Arabidopsis thaliana: one gene and its partners. The protein of the gene in region 2 interacts with the protein of the main gene of each other region in a pairwise test. Each region holds a gene or a part of one and is shown on either strand. Other genes may lie near its edges.

What was found. The genes of interacting proteins can lie anywhere in the genome.
Region 1: the proteins of AT2G47890 (region 2) and GNC interact in a two-hybrid assay, tested with the Arabidopsis thaliana proteins (one large-scale study listed by BioGRID).
Region 3: the proteins of AT2G47890 (region 2) and AT3G10113 interact in a two-hybrid assay, tested with the Arabidopsis thaliana proteins (one large-scale study listed by BioGRID).

Annotation. Positions count from the first base shown.
Region 1 is NC_003076.8:22,988,235-22,995,301, reverse strand, and holds GNC (GATA type zinc finger transcription factor family protein), read left to right. Parts: upstream 1-3,771; 5' UTR 3,772-3,950; coding exon 3,951-4,223; intron 4,224-4,500; coding exon 4,501-4,980; intron 4,981-5,228; coding exon 5,229-5,672; 3' UTR 5,673-6,086; downstream 6,087-7,067. UniProt on the Arabidopsis thaliana protein: Transcriptional regulator that specifically binds 5'-GATA-3' or 5'-GAT-3' motifs within gene promoters. Involved in the modulation of chloroplast development, growth and division in a cytokinin-dependent manner.
Region 2 is NC_003071.7:19,603,866-19,612,101, reverse strand, and holds AT2G47890 (B-box type zinc finger protein with CCT domain-containing protein), read right to left. Parts: upstream 4,107-8,236; 5' UTR 3,858-4,106; coding exon 3,387-3,857; intron 3,309-3,386; coding exon 3,147-3,308; coding exon of another isoform or gene 3,066-3,146; exon of another isoform or gene 3,064-3,065; coding exon 2,792-3,063; coding exon of another isoform or gene 2,788-2,791; exon of another isoform or gene 2,720-2,787; coding exon 2,626-2,719; 3' UTR 1,815-2,625; downstream 1-1,814. Other genes in the region: TLP3 (tubby like protein 3), read left to right, coding at 1-78, 156-335, 432-906; AT2G47885 (uncharacterized protein), read left to right, coding at 6,734-6,871; AT2G47880 (Glutaredoxin family protein), read right to left, coding at 6,670-6,978.
Region 3 is NC_003074.8:3,116,915-3,122,951, reverse strand, and holds AT3G10113 (Homeodomain-like superfamily protein), read left to right. Parts: upstream 1-3,560; coding exon 3,561-3,722; intron 3,723-3,813; coding exon 3,814-3,925; intron 3,926-4,015; coding exon 4,016-4,077; intron 4,078-4,159; coding exon 4,160-4,366; intron 4,367-4,441; coding exon 4,442-4,909; 3' UTR 4,910-5,056; downstream 5,057-6,037. Other genes in the region: MEE67 (Mitochondrial import inner membrane translocase subunit Tim17/Tim22/Tim23 family protein), read right to left, coding at 5,574-5,659, 5,817-5,889, 6,000-6,037. UniProt on the Arabidopsis thaliana protein: Probable transcription factor.

The sequences.
Region 1 (7,067 bases), on a different chromosome or scaffold from region 2:
ATCAAACATGGGTTAATTAAGGGAGTTAATGTTTAACTTTGTGCTGCAAATTTTTGTTAGTTTTAAGGAAGAACTTTCTACAGATCTGTGTCGATCAAACTCCAAAAATTTAATAATGGAATAACTGAAGACTGTTTTACACAAATAATAATCATATCCATTATTACCTTATATTCCTTCTCATATATGGAAGAAACAACTAACTTCCTGACAAAAGAATATAAGTATCTAAGACAATTTAGATCATTTCTAGTTAAACTATTTAAGTGATGCATGATATTTTAGTGGTCATAATAATATAGGTTTAGGATTGATGTAATTTTGTTAGAGACATCTTAACGTTCACGACTTTGAAATTCAGGCTTGAAATTTTGGAAATTAATATAAGATTCTTGTGATCCTTTGGTTTTATATAAGAACAAGATGTAATATTGAATTTTTTTTTCTGGCTTATATAACGTATAGTTGAAGACGCATGACTATGCACATGTGATGGCTCACTGCATTTTACATATGAGAGAGACTGAAAATATTTAAAATTAGACTCGGTTTTGATGATAATTCAAAAGAGGTACATGTGTTAAAACATTGAAGGAGATTGATAGATCGCATGCTGTCTTTTTTGAGAACCTGAAAGAACAAAACCCTTAAGAGCTCAGAGAGCTAGCCTACCAATCTCTCTCTTCCCTCTATTTATCTATCTCTTCGCTCATCGATCTCCGTTTCCATGATCCAACGGCTCTGCTCAGCTCGCTTTTCAAGAACACAGAACAAAAGAAAGCTTAGTCAAATATTATAATATAATCGACGAGAAAGAACAGTGGTCAAACTACCTCTGATTTGCAGTGTTCTCTTTTCTTTTCTTTTTTCAACCTTTAATGATAATGGTAATAGAGCTAATGATAATTAAGACAACGATAATCGTAGAATGGGATTAAATTTTATAGTGCTACTTTACTTTGAAACCCTTTCTTTTTTTTGTTAAAGACATTTAAACCTTTTCAAAAGTAATACAGTACTATTATTGACGTCACGTACTGTTAAATAATTTCCATGTTTTTTCATTACGTTTTAATGCATTAACGGTAACAGATTGCATATACATTCGTGATCATCAATTTCCATGTTTTCTTCTGGTTTTTTGTTTTTGTTTTTTGTTTTATGCGTTAAAATTCCTATAACGTGTTTTGATTAATGGACTGACCCGATTTGGTAAGAAATGAAAAAGTTGGCAAAAACTTTTTTGAGCCTGAAAAGCAAACCCAAGATTGAGAAGTGATGCAACTGCAAAGTCATGTAAAAAATGAAGAGTACAATTCATTTGTGTACAGTTTTTTTTTTCCCCATCTAGATACTTACCGTTAAAGTAACCAATAGTAATATTTCATTTTTATCCCGACACCAATAGTAATATTATTTACTAATTTTATTATTACTCAAAAGAAAACAAATGACTTTTTTGGCATGTGATAGTACAGTAAAGGGAAACTCAAATTTCAACAATCACTTTTCTTCATTTGATTTTATCCCGTCTGTGTAGATTTTTTTGGCCCTTAATATACATGAGACATATGAGATTTATCCTCGTTTATCAAAAAAAGAAGAGATTTATCCTCACATCCATACAATTTTCATTATTGTGCTCTTTTGTGCACACTAATATACAATGTTTTGCTTGTTTTGGATTGTTGTAGTTTAAACAAGGTGTAACTAATGGAAAACACATATGTTTTGGTCACAAACCAATTGTTATCTTTGTTGTCTATGAAGTTTCTATCGTCTATATATATGGTCTCTTTCAGTTCGATCGAGGGAGTAGATAATCTATAAAGCGTAAATCATTTCTCTCAGTGCATAACATCTTATTCGACTTTGTACACTGTGATATTGAAAAAACGTTTCTAACAATAGTGATATCATAAGATGCATTGACCAAATCCTATAGTATGTGTTAGAAAATTGGGAGTTATATATAGATCATAATCTGATCCCATATAAAAAGCTACTAAATATAGCAGAAAATTAATATCAATTATTATTTTTTCCTTAGATCATTTAGTTAGCTTAAGAATTGTTACAAATTGATGGGCCAATTTTAAATTTTGAAAAATAAAGATGGATTGTCTCTTTGTGTGTGGGGGTCCTCAATGATCTGTATAATCTGATGAGAAGGAATTGAATAAGTTTGGCAATACTAAGGTGGGATGTTTTCTTCCTTTACCATTCTAAACCTATCTCTTCTCTCTATTCATCTCCTCTCTCTAGATCTCTGATCTCTTCTCCCTCTGCCTCGCTTCCTATCTCTCAATCATGGATCATTTCGTTCTCTATCCTCTGGGAGGATTATTGATGGATCACATGCAGTTGAAAGGATCACGAGTTACATATAGCATATATACTACGTTTTCAAGAGATCTTGAATTTGTTATGCCAATTGAGTAAACTTTGATTATCAGGAAATAAACCAACGAATCAGTGTTGGACTTATTTGAACTTTTAACAATCCATGTTATATGATTGATGGCTTATCACAACAAAGTCTATAATTTTAGGTACTAACTAACACTACTCGTAGGGGAATTTTAAGAAGATCCACTGACTTATCTGAAAGATAAACACTAACTATTTGTCATTTCTATTTATTTATTTATTTTTGACGTTTTTTCACGTAATGCTAATTGACTCTTTTTTGTTTCTCATTTTTTTTTTTTAATTTTTTATTTGTCAATAGACATATTTACAGACGCTAGTTAGATATTCATTTTAAATAAGAGAAGTTTGTTTTTTTTTGGTTGAGAAAATAAGAGAATGTAATATACTTTCTAAAATTTATCAATCAATATTTATTCTAAATTTGTTTTGACTGATACGATTTAATAAAATCTAGTAAAAATTCATAGAGCTGAAAATCTAACCTTTTTAGTGATTCTTCATGAATACAGTAGATTTTTAGTTTAACGGTATATATACATATGAAAAGAACATGAGAAATCCAAATTTTGACTTTTTTTTTTTTCTTTTTCTATAATAGAGCCTTGATGAGATCTAGGAAACCCTAGATTTGAAAAGACAACAAGTAAAAGGATCTTATTTGTTTCAATTATTATCATGATTTGTGTGGCTCTCACTCTCCAATATTTATATAAATTAGGGTTTTATTTTTAATTTTCTGTGTCTCTCTAGTGGGGTAAGGAAATTACAGATAGGGTTTGTTTTGAATGGGGCCGTCCAGTACCATTCCACATACACACAGTTTGTCTCATGTGTTTGGTTTGTATGGGTGCCATGGACTCACGTGAACCTCTAAATTAATTAATTATATATATACATATACATATATTTTCAACTTTCTTAATGTAAATATTGACCATTTACTATTACTGATCATTTCAGTTATTTATTTGTATCCATTTTCTTAAATCAATCCAAGAAAAAAACAACAAGCTTTCTTTACTAGCTCATCAAGGATTACTGGATCGCATGTCCGTTATAGCATATGCAAATAAAATTATGGATTCGAATCTCATAATACTTTATGGTCATTTGAGAAAACTAGAAGTTTAGAGCTTTTTTTTCTAAATTAGAAAAAAACATATAAAAAGGACATTAAAAAAATTAAAATCATTGGTATGACATCCGGACTTGTCCGAAAGTAGGATTTTAAAACAGTATTTTATCCATGTCTTCTAAAATTCACTGTACAAGTTGATGTATACAGAGACATAAGTACCCTAACTCTAGACTCACGTAAACCATTTATTAAACTGATATATTTTATATATGAATATAATAGAGACCATGTGTGTTTGGCTCGTGTCTCATCTCATTGCCTTTAAAAAGGATCAAACATAGTATAGCTTGGACTCTTTTTGCCGTCTATGATCTCTCTCAATCTCTCATCTTAGCTTTCTTTCTCTCTCTCTTTGTGTCTTCATTTGTTTATCTCATCAATGGATTCAAATTTTCATTACTCGATAGATCTTAACGAAGATCAAAACCATCACGAACAACCCTTTTTCTATCCTCTTGGATCCTCTTCCTCGCTTCATCATCATCATCATCATCATCATCATCAAGTCCCTTCTAATTCTTCATCTTCTTCTTCGTCCATTTCATCGCTCTCCTCTTACCTCCCTTTCTTGATCAACTCTCAAGAAGATCAACATGTTGCCTACAACAACACTTATCACGCTGATCATCTCCATCTTTCTCAACCCCTCAAGGTAAATTTACAATTACATATCAACCTTAAGTGTGTGTGTATAAATGTTATTCTTGTACGATCGTTCTTTTTAGTTTAGCAGTTAAAATCATGCCTGATCATGTAAAATTCATACAATAATATTAGTTTCTGAATTTGTATGTCGAGAATTCTATATAGACGAAATTTAATTTATCAAATAAAAAGGAGGGATCTTAAGAAGCCATATCATTATATTATTATGTACAATTCCATCTGTTGTTGATTATAAACCTTGATCGGTGATATATATATACCAGGCCAAGATGTTTGTGGCTAACGGTGGATCATCAGCATGCGATCACATGGTGCCAAAGAAGGAGACAAGACTGAAACTAACGATAAGGAAAAAAGATCACGAAGACCAACCCCATCCTCTTCATCAAAACCCGACAAAACCCGATTCAGACTCCGACAAGTGGTTGATGTCCCCAAAGATGCGGTTGATCAAGAAAACAATCACCAACAATAAACAGCTCATTGATCAGACTAATAATAATAATCATAAAGAAAGTGATCACTACCCTTTGAATCATAAGACTAATTTCGACGAGGATCACCATGAAGATCTTAATTTCAAGAACGTCTTGACCAGGAAGACCACGGCCGCGACCACCGAGAATCGCTACAATACAATCAACGAGAACGGTTATAGTAATAACAATGGCGTGATTAGGGTTTGTTCGGATTGTAACACCACCAAGACTCCTCTTTGGCGAAGTGGACCTCGAGGTCCCAAGGTAGATTAATCACACTTACTTCAATCGAAATTGTCTTGATATATGTCATACTATCTATATCTACCTAGTTTAGTTCACATTTTTAAAATTAATAGTTATATTTCAAGAATGTAGATATTTAATTTATTTAAACCTGATACATCCTTTAAACATTAATACTTTAATCAATGATACTCATAAGTCCAACATTCTATGATTTTTTTTTTGTCATCTACAGTTCGCATACTAATTTTCATTTATCATTGCAGTCTCTTTGTAACGCATGTGGTATACGGCAAAGAAAGGCAAGGCGAGCCGCTATGGCCGCGGCCGCTGCAGCCGGCGACCAAGAGGTGGCGGTAGCGCCCCGAGTGCAACAATTACCGCTGAAAAAGAAGTTGCAAAATAAAAAAAAGAGATCAAACGGAGGGGAAAAATACAATCACTCTCCTCCAATGGTGGCCAAGGCCAAAAAGTGCAAGATCAAAGAGGAAGAGGAGAAGGAAATGGAAGCGGAAACGGTTGCCGGAGATTCAGAGATCAGCAAATCTACAACTTCTTCTAATTCTTCGATTTCGTCAAACAAATTTTGCTTCGATGATTTGACAATAATGTTGAGCAAAAGCTCAGCTTATCAACAAGTGTTCCCACAAGATGAGAAGGAGGCTGCTGTTTTGCTCATGGCTCTGTCGTATGGAATGGTTCACGGTTGATCAGATCATCACAATATCCTCATTACAAAAAGGTTTATTTTAATAGTAATATATAGATTATAGTAATCATAATAATGATTGATTGTTAAATCTTGGAGTGATTAGTTTAGTTTTTGCAGTTGGTCTAATATCAGGAGTCAAAACATTTTATAATAAGAGTGTGTGAGAGTTTAATATGATAATTAATAGCTCTATATATGTTTATGGAGATTTTGGTTTTGAGTTTGTTGTGTTTTTGTTTTCCGATGGAACGAACATTAGTCACCCGATAATGTGGGTAATTCTTGTTCATTTACAAGTTTTATAGTACTGTATTGTGTAACGAGGTTGGAGAAATAATATAATCAATTAAGGGTACTTTTATTTATGTGTTTATCTTTATACAATATACATATCATCACAATTTAGCTCAATCATAAATGGATTACCAGCTTTAAAATTGTACGTCTAGTATTTGGTATCATTCAAAATTTAAATATATTTTTGAAGCTCATAATAGTAGTGTAATTTTTCTTAGAAATGCTTTAAATTGACTATTTTGGATTTAATTGCTTGTGAGAATATACTGAACACAAAATATAAAGATGAGGGTAAAGATGGTTGATATGGGATAATATGAATGCGTATATAAGACAAGAGATCATGTGTGAAGAAGATAATACGTTTGTGTTGCATTTTAAGACGACGACATATTTGCAAGCCCACATATTTTCTTCTAGTTTTTTCATTAGATTATCTAACTAATATAAGCCCTTTATCCAAAAAAAATGATCTAATTAATTTTATTTCAAACTTAAAAAAAACACATATAGGTTGACCTAAGTCTGAATCAACACATCAAAAAATACTTTTTTCTTTCGCTGCTACATTATTACTTAGGGTCATGAGTAGCTAGTACAGCACACCAATCATAAATATATCAAAAATGTAAAATGTGAAATATAATTATTTTTTCACTATACACTATTTTAATATTAAGATCCTTATGAATGTATCATTGGTTTATAATGATCAATATTAATTACTAATCTACATACTTTAGCTTCAAAATATCACTGTCCAAAAAAAACAATCACTATGTAAACTACTTTTACTTTAAAACATCAGTTTGGTCTAGTCTATGACTAATCTATTTTTGTTACAGCAAATTAAATCAACTATATACACATAGTACGCACACACACACTGATGTTAAATAAGCATTTTACAAACCATAATTTATACATGAACATTGATCCAATAGATGCAAGCATAGCTACAAAGCATGCACTTAGAGAATGTTAACTAATATTAATATTGAATCATACTTATAATATAAATAAAAAATAACAAAATTAACAAAAAACGACAATTAACAAAAACCTAATCTGATAACTAATGATGTATCATGGGATG
Region 2 (8,236 bases):
AACTTGCACTGACTACATCATCTCCTTAAACTGCGATGATGTCTCTCGAGGAAGCAATACCTATATCGGAAAGCTTAGGTACTTAGCTACAGATTGACCCCATGGTTTTTTCATATATTTGCCATAACCTTTCTCTTATCTTAACTTTCTTTCAGATCTAACTTTCTGGGGACCAAGTTCACTGTCTATGACGCTCAGCCGACGAATCCTGGAACTCAGGTTACCAGAACCCGTTCAAGCAGACTTCTCAGTTTGAAACAAGTGAGCCCGAGAATTCCATCTGGCAACTATCCTGTAGCACATATCTCATATGAGCTTAACGTCTTGGGTTCCAGGTGATTTATCTCCTTGCTTACAGATACATTGTGAGATAAAACGGTAGTTGCTTAATATGGCTTTTGCTAATTGTGAACATTGTCGTATCATACCAGAGGACCGAGGAGGATGCAGTGTGTCATGGATGCCATCCCTGCATCAGCTGTAGAACCTGGAGGAACAGCTCCAACTCAGACGGAACTTGTCCATAGCAATCTTGATAGTTTCCCCTCATTCTCCTTCTTCAGGTCGAAATCAATTCGTGCAGAGAGTCTCCCTTCTGGTCCATCATCTGCTGCTCAGAAGGAAGGACTGCTTGTCCTGAAAAACAAAGCGCCCAGATGGCACGAACAGCTCCAGTGCTGGTGCCTCAACTTCAATGGGAGAGTCACAGTTGCTTCCGTCAAAAACTTTCAGCTGGTAGCTGCTCCTGAGAATGGACCTGCAGGACCTGAGCACGAAAACGTGATTCTCCAGTTTGGAAAAGTCGGAAAAGATGTGTTCACAATGGATTATCAGTACCCTATCTCTGCCTTCCAGGCCTTCACCATTTGCCTCAGCAGTTTCGACACCAAGATAGCATGTGAATGATTAATTCCATCAAACCCTGTGACTCCGTGTTTATTTAGTTGTATCATGTTGAAAGAGAAGACTGGTTTGGCCTCGTCTTAGAAGTGTGTGTACATAGTTTCAAAAGTCTTGGCAAGTCCATACAAGAGAAGAGTCAAGAATCGAAGACAGTAGATTGTGTTTGTTGTTGTTGTTGTTGCATTGTGTTGCTAGTGATTGTAGTTCCAGACTATGATTTCATTTCTCTGATAATTAATTTGATCGTTTTTTGGGTAATATATATCCACACAGAGCAGAAATTGAGACATTTGAATTATTATATTTAAGATTGAATTTGACAAACATCTGCAATATCCTATACAGAGATAGCTTTAATATTATTCGAGTGACCAATGGAGTCAGATGTGGTCAATAATAGGGTGGCAGAAGTGGCGGTCCTTGTGGCGGTGGGCCGCCAAAGCAATCTCGTAGCAGCCAGCAGCAGCACAGACAAGATAGACTGCAAGATTCCACAGTCAGACTAACCACTTAACTCTTTACAAAACACATAGCAAAACAGAGAATGTCTTTACCAGGAACATATCATGTCGGAGAACCCAGAAAAGAAACCACCAATGGGTGGGAAGAAGCCTGGTCCTCCCGGTGGCAAGAACCCTGGTCCTCCGGGTCCTCCTGGTCCTCCGGGGCCCATGACAGATCTCTGAACAGTGTGGTGAAGATGTCTCCAAGGGATTTAGCGCTCTTAAGACAGGAGAATAAACAGAGAAGGGCTCTTATATACAAGTTTGTTGGGGCCTAATCTTCAACGTCAACAAACAGTAAACGAAGAGTGAGAGATGCAAAATTGCTTCAAGCTGCAACCACTCTTCACCAAATGTTCAAATCCAAAAATATTAACAGTAAAATTAACCATCATTAAAATAAAGAACTCCAAGTCAGATTCATATTTGAATTCTAAGAAGAACATAGAGAATATAACCACAACTCTGATACATGATTTAGTGCTTACTGATTGCTCAACAAGTAAAACCCACTCCAGATTCCTTGTTCAACCAAAACTTACTTTACTTCTCAGATTATCATTGGGACAGATTCATCGTAGCAGGAATGATCTGCCAAAAAGTGTTGTCATTTTTTTTTGTATTTTTATACTGCCTCAGATTATTATATATTGGTAGATTGCAAATAGTTGTTGCCGCGAGCCCATGCCTTTGGATGTTTGTCTTCATCGGCCATCCAATTTCATCTGAATAAAAAAACAAGAGTGAAAGCTGCGACGGCAGCGGAATTTCTGTTTCGCCGGCCATCGGGAAGAGACGCTTTTATATTTGGGCTTTAAAAGAAAATGGCCCAAACATGCCAACCTATATTGGGTTTACTATGTTACAACTTGAGCCCATAATATCAATTACATCAAGCCCTTCTTGCTCCATGGATCTTTAATGGGTCCAATCTCACTTTCTAACATTACAACAAGTTCTTTTGCTGCTTGCTTGTCTTGAGATTGTATATAACTGTGAACCATGTTTTGTTCTGTGCTCGTCCATGCTTGCCCTTTGGCAAATTAGGAATCGGAGGCAAAACAAAAAAAAAACTATTCTTAAGTGACAATTTTGAGAGTGTGGTCGATATACAGTGATAACTCCTAAGCTTAGAATACAAAAACTTATCTGATCATACACACTATATGATTCGATTAATACAAAAGATTTTTGATTATCAAAGTAACCTCATCATCATTCATGGATCTGCTGCCTTGGCGAAACGTCCCCTGATTCTTGTCCTGCTTTCTGCACGAACCTTGCGTGATTCATACCTGATGTGTTTCTCGTACCTGTTTCATCAACACATGATTCAAATCCCAATCCTATTGGTGGTGTCTCACTTTTTAAATTAGCTTGTTTACCTTCGAGACTTCTTCTTTTCTTTGTAGCGAGAGAGAGCAGAGTTCCTCTCAAGACTGTTGATCTCATGTGTCATCGACCTTGTACTAGTGATAACCGGAACCATCACAGTCTCTTCCTCACATCGGTTTAAGCAGCCGGAAACGGGAACCATCACCGATGACTCTCGGTCTACATTCTCAGGTTTCTCATCTGACTCCGACAAGTTCTTTAGCAGAGAGCAATATGGAAAGTCCTCATGATCTTGCTGATCGAACCATTTCAGTCCACTCTCCTTCATATTGACAAGAGAGATTTATAAGCTGGAAAATCATTTGACAAGCACAAGAAAACACAACCAATAGCAGTCTCTATTACCAGCTCGCATGTAGAAAACAAATCCGGCGCTAGGAATTGGAACCCGGCATCGATCTCAGCATCTGGGGTTTCAAATTTCAGACAACCAGGCTCAGATCTGGATAGTCCACGGAGCTGTCGGATCATCTCATCTTTGTATTTCCCGCAGGTGGCGTGACGATTCTGGAGCATTTCAAAACATTTCAGAGAAATATAAAAACCGAGCAATTGGCTCGAGAAAAAAAACAGAGCAAGTTATACCTTAGGCAGAGGAGGAACATCCGTGGCCCGGAAGTTATGAGTACCCGACCCGCCCGAAACAATAAGGTCGTTGAGGCTAACGATCTCAGGTGACTCCCAAAGCAATCCGGAATCGAGAGTGAGGTCATCGAGGCCAACGATGGCCAGCAACTCAGGCACGGAGGGACAGCCGGTAAATCCTTCAAAGGGTCTGCGGCTATGAAGGGAGGAAGAGGCGGTGTGGTGTTGCCAGTCGCAGTTCTGGCAAAGAACAGACCTTTCAGTCTCGCAGAAAAGGGAAGAGGGAGATTCGTTGCAGGAGTCGCAGAGAAGTGACCTGAAGTGTTTGGCGAAGAGTTGGTTGGCGACGTGGACTTGCTTGTCGCAGGCGAGGCAGAGCTTGGCGGAGTCAGCTTTGCAGTAGACAAGAGCCACGGAGGAGTCGCAATAGTCGCAGAGGCGGTCACGCTGATGACCTTCTTCTGCTTCCATGGGAGGAGCTTAGAGGAGACGACGCCGACAGTTTTGGTAAGAAGAAGAAGTTGATCTTTTCTTGGGATATTTTGGGGCAACAAAACCAAATTTGGTGGCTTATGTAAAAGCCATATCTTAATTGCATTCTAGGTAATGAATGACGTTAAAGTGACGACATATTTGCTTAGACAAAGTCAAATACATTTTATTTCTTGGGGAAGAAGCTGGAAACCTACACTCTCTTCACCTTCCCGTGCCTTTCTTTACTCATCTCTCTCACTTAACTCGTGAAAAATAGCTCTCCATTTTTATATATTGATTTTTCTTGATATATCGGATTAGCCTAGAATTTAACATAATATTTTGGCTACCACATATATAATATACAGTACTTGGTTAGATTTTTAAAAAGTAAATAAGATCATAACTAATGAAGGGCTCAAGAGAAAGAGTTAATGAAGTTGACCACGAATACATCTCTGAAGATTTTTTAAACCGGGACTAGTCCAGAAAATGGACGTGGCAAATTAGGGACGTTAGAAAAAGGAAGCTCGTTGTTGAGGCAGCGTTGGCCGATTTGATTAACTTTAAAGAAACAGACAAACGAAAAAAAGGACTTTGTCACGTTACCGACATAGCTAGAATGCTCGATACTGAATCTTTTCTTCTTATATTTGTTTTTTGTTTGCCACTATGTATATTAGGTGAAACGGAAATGGATCCCACCATTAATTTTTGATATTGAGTCCAAATCTGCTTATCTCCACTAATACCTCATCATCGTTCCTCGATAACTATTACTCCATGAAGGTAGTTTTCAATTAGAGTTTCCGTACTGAATTAAACCTATTCAAGATTAGCTAATACCATGCATAGTTTGACTTTTAGGGCACGATGGGGAAAAAGAGACAGGATGGGCAATATCTAACATTCCAGCGACACTAATAACATGATCTCGACAACTACTGCCCCTACTTCTCTTGAACAATAACACATATCACAAGATAATCTAGCTAGGTTGCTTTTCCATCCTCGTAACATACTAACATGGCTATAAAAACTCATTTTTCAAAAATCGAAATTGATTCTGAAGCCTTTAATAAAAATACACACAACTAAACTGAAACCAAATGTTCTACCATTTCACTTTGGTGGACTAAACTATTCGCATGAGCTACGTTCCTTTTTTAATTTTTGATTTTTTAAAAAATGGTCCACTTTCCAAGTAATCATCGGTTCTCGATATTTTCTTGGACACGAATCTTGAGCCTATAGGTGGATGCTTTTTTCACGCGCCGGTCAAAGAATCTTGAATCTTATAACAATGACAACAAAGTGAATATGGTTCTTAGTTCTTACACGTTCTGTACAACTTCCGATTAGATTCTCCTATATATTTCCCACGATCCCAAGAAGTTGGAGGTCAAGAAAAGTTGTTCCACACATCATGTAAAGGGATTCTACCTTTATTATTTCTTTTCGACCTTTTGAACTCAGTATAATCATATTTTCTTCAAAAAGAAATCTTCAAGGTCTATATACTACTATATAACTATAGAGGCTTTTACACGCTTCTTTTGATTGGAGAATCTTGAAGTAGTTGATTTTGGTAACTTTAAGTAACTAAAGGGAAATAATTATGGGTAACATATATAAGCATGCAAAGCGTAAATGTCAAATCCATTATTTAGTAACTAATTTACGTGCTTAAACCTGTGAGTAGAGTTTAATCTCAAGTGATAAAAAGCGGAACTAAGGAGAATAATATGCTTCGTTATCTATAAAGCTGATGAGAGGATCGTTAATGTACCGTATATAAAACAACTATTCATATGATTCGTTAGTAAAAAAAATTGTATTTTTTTCTTCTAACATTGTATGTTTTTATTGATTATGAGCATATATGTTTAATTTACTACACGAGCAACTAACGAAAAAACAAAGAGTTCATATATATAAAAAGGTGTACAATTTTTCATTAGAAAATAATAGTAAATTAAACGTGAAGATACTCAAGAATAAAGGAACGCAAAAAGAGCAGTGATTTTGTGTAGCCATGATATACTTGGACCGCGAAAGATCTTCCATCCTCTTCCTCAAACTGCTTTAGTTGCATTAGGCCACTGGTATCTTATCATTGTTTTTCTTCTTACCAAATTTGTATGGTGGAGACTAATTAAGTCTATTCTGATCTAATATTTTTCACATTCGATTTATATATACTCTAATGGGCACTGATTTATCCTTGATTCAAAAGTACGCTCTAAACACAACATCACAAAGGCTAAATCTGTATATCGCCCGATATAATGTTAACTATCAATAGGTCTAACTAATAATGATGAAGCCAACTTATACATTACATCTTGATAATTAGAAGACGAGTTCATGCATGTGTTGGCCATTCACATTTTTATTCTAGCTACTGTCAGTGTATGTGAATATTTCTAAATAAGAAAATGGTTTGTGTGTAGCCTCCTTCTGATACCATGTTAAAAACAGACAAGTATAAACGGTTTCTTGCCTTATTATATGGAAAGCCCTAAATTACTCAACATACACAAGAGATCGTTACTAATTGTGTGGGAAAAAATGTAAAAGTTTCAATACTATTTTCATTAGCATAAACAGAGAGTCATACATCAACATACACCAGTTGATTAACTAAACTGAAACACGAGAGAAGCTAAACAATAGAACATACAAACGATAAACATTAATTCAGACGAAGTCCTCACTGAATATCTAGCTAGCTCACACTCTAGCTGTAACTGTGTTTATTCTCACTAGCTAATAATTAGATATTATATATTGAGTTGGTTTAATTTTGCTAGTAAAGGATGGACTGATAGGGTTTGATCAATGGGACAAGAGAGCCACTAAGGTGAAGGGACATGACTTCATTGGTGGAGCCAACAAGCTTGCCTCCGACAAAGACAGCTGGAACCGCCGTGGAACAGCCGAGCCGGAGAAGAGCCTTCTCGATCTCACGGCAGTCCGGGTCGTTGTCGATCTCGTGGATGGTTGGTTGAACCCTAAGGTCACGGAACAGGATTTGAACGGCGTAGCAGAGACAACATGAGCTCTTCGTGAAGATCACCACTCCTTTCTCTGAAGACATTCTCATCACTTTGTCCATGATCCTCAGAAGTCTGAAGATCTGATGATGGCTAGGGGTTTAAACTTTAGCGTTTTGATGTATGTTTTGTTTTGTTTTGAGTATGTAAAAAGCTTGACATTTGCTCGCCTATTTATAGGAAGGGAGTGAGTCTTTCGAGTGTGTTTTTTTCTTGCTAATTAGAAAGAAAAGACCATTTAAAATGTAGTTTATTTCTAAGAAAATATCAAAAAGGAAAGATAAAATATCAGATGCCTATTTGAGAATTTTTCTTCTTATTTATATTCTGTTTGACTGCACAAGTTGCAAACATTACTCTCACTTCTAAGTTATTCAATTTATTTTTATTTCTACGGTAACGCTGCAGTTGTTTTGATCGTCATAACATGTTGATTAGTAATTTACGAATACGATTCGAAAAATTGTAATCAGTTTCACCTTTTTGTGGGTTAATAATAGTATACGCATTGCCAGTGACATAAATATAATTAATCTAAATAATAAGCACATGCATGCATGGACTAATTGATGAAATAAGTATGAACGGAATGCATATGATAGTAATTTTGAAACACTAACATAGATATGAAAGTTGAAGCTAGCTTATCAAATTGATTACAACAATGATAGAAATCAGACGATTTCTTAATAACTTTTGGCTAAGCGATTTTCTTAAACTGCTGATATTCAAATCAATGTGACAAGAAATATAGCATGATTAATACCCCTAGAAAAAGAAAAGAGGCTTGTCAATTTATAATCTAACGGATTCTCTCAACATATCTCCTTTGATTGAGTCATTGCGCAAAGTGAGGATAAATGAAAAAGATTGGACCTTTCGGTGATAAACATGTATATATATGTATCAACAATATGCATCGTACATGGTGATTCCGCCAACACCAACTTGCCAAAGAAAATTATTCCATCTTTCTTTTTTATATATTCTTCTTTCACACTTACACTAATGTTTGATTCACTTCTCTCGAAATGTCTTTCTTGCCGGACGCACGCGTGAATCACACGCATATGTTAACTCTGCTGCGTCATTCTTGGCTTACTTTTCGATTGTTTTGTGGGTGTAGTAATCTTTTCATGAGCGAGATTCTCTTTTATGTTTGATTCAAAAACGATCATATATATACTAGTTATAGCATAGTTACGTTCGATATTCATTTGTATATCGGTTAGGTATTATACTACGTACATTTTTTTCTATAATCGGAAGATATTATGCTAAATCCAGATGATATTCCGATATTAACAGAAATCTTTACGT
Region 3 (6,037 bases), on a different chromosome or scaffold from region 2:
GAAGGCTTTAGGTCGGTTGACTTATGTCGACCACTCTTATCTTTCAGACTTTTATATTTGAATAAAATGTTTTTGTCCTTAAGAACAAGTTCATGTTTTTTTTTTTTTTTTTTTTTTGTGAACCTCCGTCGGTTGATTACGTATTAACAATATCGGATTCCCAATCTTGAAATTAGGTTTTAAATCGACTAAATTATAAGCCATATGCAAGCTTTGAGCTCGGCTTTCGGGCGGACTGGTTTTCACCTGACGTCACAGCCGATTTTTTCTGTCTAAGTTCGGGTTAGATGTTAAGTGCGAGACTGAGCTCGGCTTTATAAATAAAAGTATTCGGCGTGTACTGGGCGCGAGACGTCTCTCGGCTTATGCCCAGTAGGCCTATGTATAATTTAAAGAGGAGATAAGTTGAGAACTAGGCAGTTTTTAGGGAAATAATTTGAGAACTAGGCAGCTTTTAGTGTATAGTTTTGAATTGCAATACATTTCAATAATGGTTTTTTTCCTTGGGGTTTAGTAATCTATCTTGGATTTTAGGGTATAGTTTTTAATTCCATTGCATTTCCTAAATGTTTTTAGTATTCTATCTTGGCTAGTGTACTAGTCTAGTGTACCGAAGTGGTGTACTGTTCTCGTGTTCTCACTTTGTCTCACGAAGCTCGTCAGCTCGTCCGTCTCAAGTAGCTAATCAGCTCGCCCTTCTCAAGAAGCTCATCAGCTCTCCCTTCTTAAGAAACTCGTTAGCTCGCTCCTCTTCGTCAAGCTTCTCAACTCGTTCTCTTCACCAAGTCCCTCAGCTCGTCTTCAAGCTATCCAGCTCGTCTTTAATCTCTCCAACTCGCCTTTAAGCTCTTCAAGCTCCTCAGCTCGTCCTCAAGCTCCTCAGCTCGTCTTCAAGCTCTTCCCATCACAGCGACCATCTCCTCGTCTAGCTATCAGCTCATCCCTCGACTGCGAAACTCATCTACCTCCTCGCCTAGCGGAAGTTCGTCCATTGACTGCATAGTCCACCTATCTCGTCGTCCAGCTCGTCTAGACCTTCAGCAAACAACTCGGTTTGTCCAACTCGTCTCTCTACCACGGTTCATCCAGCTCATCGCACATCTGCCGGCTCGTCACCTACCTGCCGACCTACCTCCAACGATGGCCTAGCTCACTTATTCTAATATGAACTACGTGTGGCTTGATCCCTTTCTAAGGGTACGTAGGCAACCTTTTACAAGGTTCAGCTATAAAACGAATAAACTCTATTCTTCCTCGGACATCAAGATCGTCTTCCGGCCTCAAGCTCGTCTTTCATCTACAATCGGCTCGTTCTTACTCCATTTATGCTCGTTGAAGAAATCATCCTTTGTAATCCGTCCAATTCGCCTAAGTCGCGGGCTCGTCATTAATAGAAAGATTCTTCTTCCTTCCCTAGAGATCCCATTTTCGTACTTGTGTGATTCGTGCATCAACAGTTGGCGCGCCAGGTAGGGGGATAGCTCGAAGATATCTCTCAAAACTACGAACCCGCGACGAACCAAAGTGACAACAAACGGACTACATGGAGCATTCGATACCGACTCGTCAGGCTCTGGAAGCAAAACGACAACGTCGATCCCCGGGAGAGCCAGTCACTCGACCTCTTCATCCGATATCGCATCATGTTCTCCGACCTCTTCATTTCCTTGGGGTTTAGTAATCTATCTTGGATTTTAGGGTATAGTTTTTAATTCCATTGCATTTCCTAAATGTTTTTAGTATTCTATCTTGGCTAGTGTACTAGTCTAGTGTACCGAAGTGGTGTACTGTTCTAGTGTTCTCACTTTGTGTACTATCATAGTGTACGCATTTGGTGTACTAGTCTTGTGTACTAATGGTGTACTGTTCTAGTGTTCTCACTTGGTGTACTATAATAGTGTACCCATTTGGTGTACTATTCTAGTCTACTTCTAGAATGTCAAAGTATCAATCCAAATTATAATACAATATATTTCAATTCAAGTGTTATGAAGCATAATAATAATCTAGGGTTATGACTTTGAATTAGGAATTTATTTATTTACTTGGAATTCTAAATTCTAGTAATCTAAGGCTTTAGGGTATAGTTTTAAACTTCATTCCATATGATATATGGTTTTCCTTGGGTTTAGTCTTCTCTCTTTGTCTTTTAGTGTATAGTTTTGAATTTCACTACATTTCAATAATGTCTTTTAGTGTATAGTTTTAGGGTATAGTTTTTAATTCCATTGCATTTCCTAAATATTTTTAGTATAATAGTAGACTAGTCTAGTGCACCAAAGTGGTGTACTGTTTTTAATTCACTTGGTTACTAATTGGTGTACCCATTTGGTGTACTATTCTAGTATACTATTATATTCTATCTTGGCTAGTGTACTAGTCTAGTGTACTAGTCTAGTGTACTAGTGGTGTACTATTCTAGTGTTCTCACTTGGTGTACTATTATAGTGTACCCATTTGGTGTACTGGGTTTCTCTCAAACGTCTCTCTTCTCGAACTCGTTCACCCTCGATTTGTTGTACACCGACTGTGGCTAGGGTTCGTGAAAAACCAAGAAGAGTAAAGTAACTCAATCTCAGAATAAACACGGGCTCAGAAGTTATTTGGATAAAAAACGTAATGAAACTATCGGGCTCAAATATTTGGGCTCACTTAATACGAATTGGAGTTAACGGGCCTAAAATGAGTTTTAAAACCCAATCCAATTTGTTTCGTCGAACCCAGCCGGAATGTGTGTTTTTAAAACACAAGGCTACTATTGTATTTGACACCTCTTTTGGATTTTTGCTACCTTTTTCTATCTCACATGAATCCTATTAGACAAACCCAATAAAAAGTACCCTCTCAGCATATTTCCAAAAAAACTGTCTAGTTCTCAAATAATTTTCTAAAAACTGCCTACTTTTACAATAAACCCTTGTAAAAACTATGATACTGCAGTTAAATCCTATGGAATGATTAGACATATGATCATGAAAGCGACATATGTGATTGAGTTGTCCACCAAGAAAGAATAACAGTAACTGGCTCAATATGATTTTCTTTTGATTTAAATATTGTTTTAAAAAGTATATCTTCATTACGAAAATTATGTTTTGGTTTTGGTGTCTTAATTTTTAGTTTGGTTTTTCATATAGAGAGGGACATATCTACCAATTCTAACTTGTTGATAGCCGTAACCAAGATTCAAGAATAGTTACCTGCCACCACATCTTCGCGGCGTGTATCTCAAGCGTCATGATCGTTGACGCCGTCTCCACCAGATGTTTGTCGCCGTAAGCTAACCCTAATAAAGCGGCGGAGTAATAAGCGTTTACGGCCTCGCTTGTGCTCTCTTGATTCCGGCCGTCCCAGAACTCCGTTAACCCTCCAGCCCATGAGTGTAGCTTGAAAAGATCAAAATTTCTCAAACGCGGATAACTAGAATTTGAATTATTATCATCTTTTCTCCCAAACGTCATGAAATCCGCCAATAGACTGTACGCTTGAGCTCTGTATCTCTCTCCCCACAAAGGATCAAACTTAGCGAGCACGGCAATAGCGTAGAGAAAGTAACCAATATGGTAATGATGATTATTATATATACCGAACCCGAAATCAGCTTGTTTCCACTTCAGGATCGAAGTGAGGAACTAAGCAGCAATGTAGAAAATGGAAGTTGCAATTCCAATGAAGGAATTAATCCTGAAACCAGCAGTCATTGGATTGAAAACGTTGTCAAGGTACTATATGTTTTGTCACAACTTTGGAGAAGAGACAAATTTCAGATTTTGCCAGTGGATCTTACCTCTCCTCTGTGTATTGTTCTTCAAGGTTAGGAAACCGTACACAGTAACTAAGCAGAGAGAGAAGTGGAGTGAGGAAGAGCATGATAGGTTTCTTGAAGCTATCAAGCTTTATGGTCGTGGGTGGCGTCAAATCCAAGGTATTATTTGACTTGGAGCTTAAATTGAGCTTAGAATCTAGCTGCTATTAGATGTAGTTCTGAAGAACCTAAGTCTTGATTTTGCTGCAGAACACATAGGTACAAAAACCGCTGTACAGATACGAAGCCATGCTCAAAAGTTCTTCTCCAAGGTCTTGTTTGTTCATATGTTCCATAACATCAGTAGTACTGATTTGGTTAGTTTGTAACCTGACAGTTTTTTATCCATTGCAGATGGCTCAGGAAGCTGACAGTAGAAGTGAAGGATCGGTTAAAGCGATTGTGATCCCGCCTCCTCGTCCAAAGAGAAAACCGGCACATCCTTATCCTCGGAAATCGCCTGTTCCATATACTCAGTCTCCTCCACCAAATTTGTCAGCTATGGAGAAAGGAACCAAGTCTCCAACCTCAGTGTTATCATCGTTTGGTTCAGAGGATCAAGTCAATAGATGCTCTTCGCCTAATTCGTGTACCAGTGACATCCAATCCATTGGTGCAACTTCCATTGATTAAAAGAATAACTACACAACATCCAAGCAACCTTTCAAAGATGATTCTGACATTGGTTCAACACCCATTTCAAGCATTACTCTTTTCGGGAAGATTGTCCTTGTCGCGGAAGAATCTCACAAACCATCCTCTTACAATGATGATGATCTTAAACAAATGACGTGTCAGGAGAATCACTACTCAGGGATGCTAGTTGACACTAATTTATCTCTTGGTGTATGGGAAACGTTTTGTACTGGTTCTAATGCATTTGGCTCGGTTACAGAAGCATCTGAGAACTTGGAGAAGAGTGCAGAGCCGATAAGTTCTTCATGGAAACGGTTAAGCTCCTTAGAAAAACAAGGATCTTGTAATCCTGTAAATGCAAGTGGGTTCAGGCCATACAAGAGATGCCTATCAGAAAGAGAAGTAACATCATCATTGACGCTGGTAGCTTCAGATGAAAAGAAAAGCCAAAGAGCACGTATATGCTAGTTTTAGCCATTGTACAGTTTGGAGTCAATTTTGATGATCCGTGAACATTGTTTTAGCCATTTGCTGGGTGACTTGGATCATAGCATTCCACGAACCAAATCCTAAATCCGAGTTGGTAAGTGGTTTTACTTGTCCGCCACATGTAATCCTTGTAATGAAGTTTCTCCTGCTGTCTCACGTTAAGAAGACACTTCTTTTTTTCTTCATATACAAATCAGTTTTAACAGTGTATTTGTTTGGCCAACTATTCCTAGCTCTGTTTCAATCTTAGGTCTGGTTTATGATTATTAGCCTTAAGACCAGTCTTAATGTTAAAAGGTTTTTACATTAAGCAGATTAATATACGAGTGAAACTTCAAACTCTGAGAATTGAAACATTGTGCAAAGGGAACCCCCTAAATTTCTGTGGACACTTGCTTAAAAATTGGAGCCCTCAAGTCTAATTCACTTACTTAAATATTGGAGCCCTCAAAGTCTAATGAAATCTATGATAAATAACAACAATTGAAGTATATGCAATCAACACAAGCCTTGCTTATTCTATATTGAAAAGTGTAATTCTAGCTTCTATCTCCCTGGGTTCAGGTGATGAACTGTATCACTATCACAGAAAAGAAGCAGCAAAAAAATCTCAGCAATGGCGTCTGTTAGATATCTCACTGGTTTATGTATGCCTATCAAAGAACTTCTCTATGAGTACAGAGAAAGTTGCAAATCCAGCGCAACCTATACACGCAGCTTTTGGCCCACCTGAAACAAGACCAATCCATTAAGTCCTCAAGAACACAATGTATCATGTAAGAGAAATCAAACCTCTACGAGATTACAGTTTGGGAATTAGGCCGTTGCATATTGATAATGAATCTCTAAGATTTAAATTCCATGCACAGAAGATAATAGGTCTTACCTCGGGCGGACATTGAACCACCGGTAACACATCCAGCTATAGCGGTGTTTACAGTGTCATGCTTAGCTCTTGCCTTTTTCAGAGAGGTAAACCAAAAAAGTCGATAATAAGGTTTTGAAGTTATGATACATGAGTTAGTAGTGGAATTTCCTTGTTTTTCTTGGTCAATAAACAAGGTATTACCTTTTCGACAATGCATTCTGCAGCAGAGAAAACCAAAC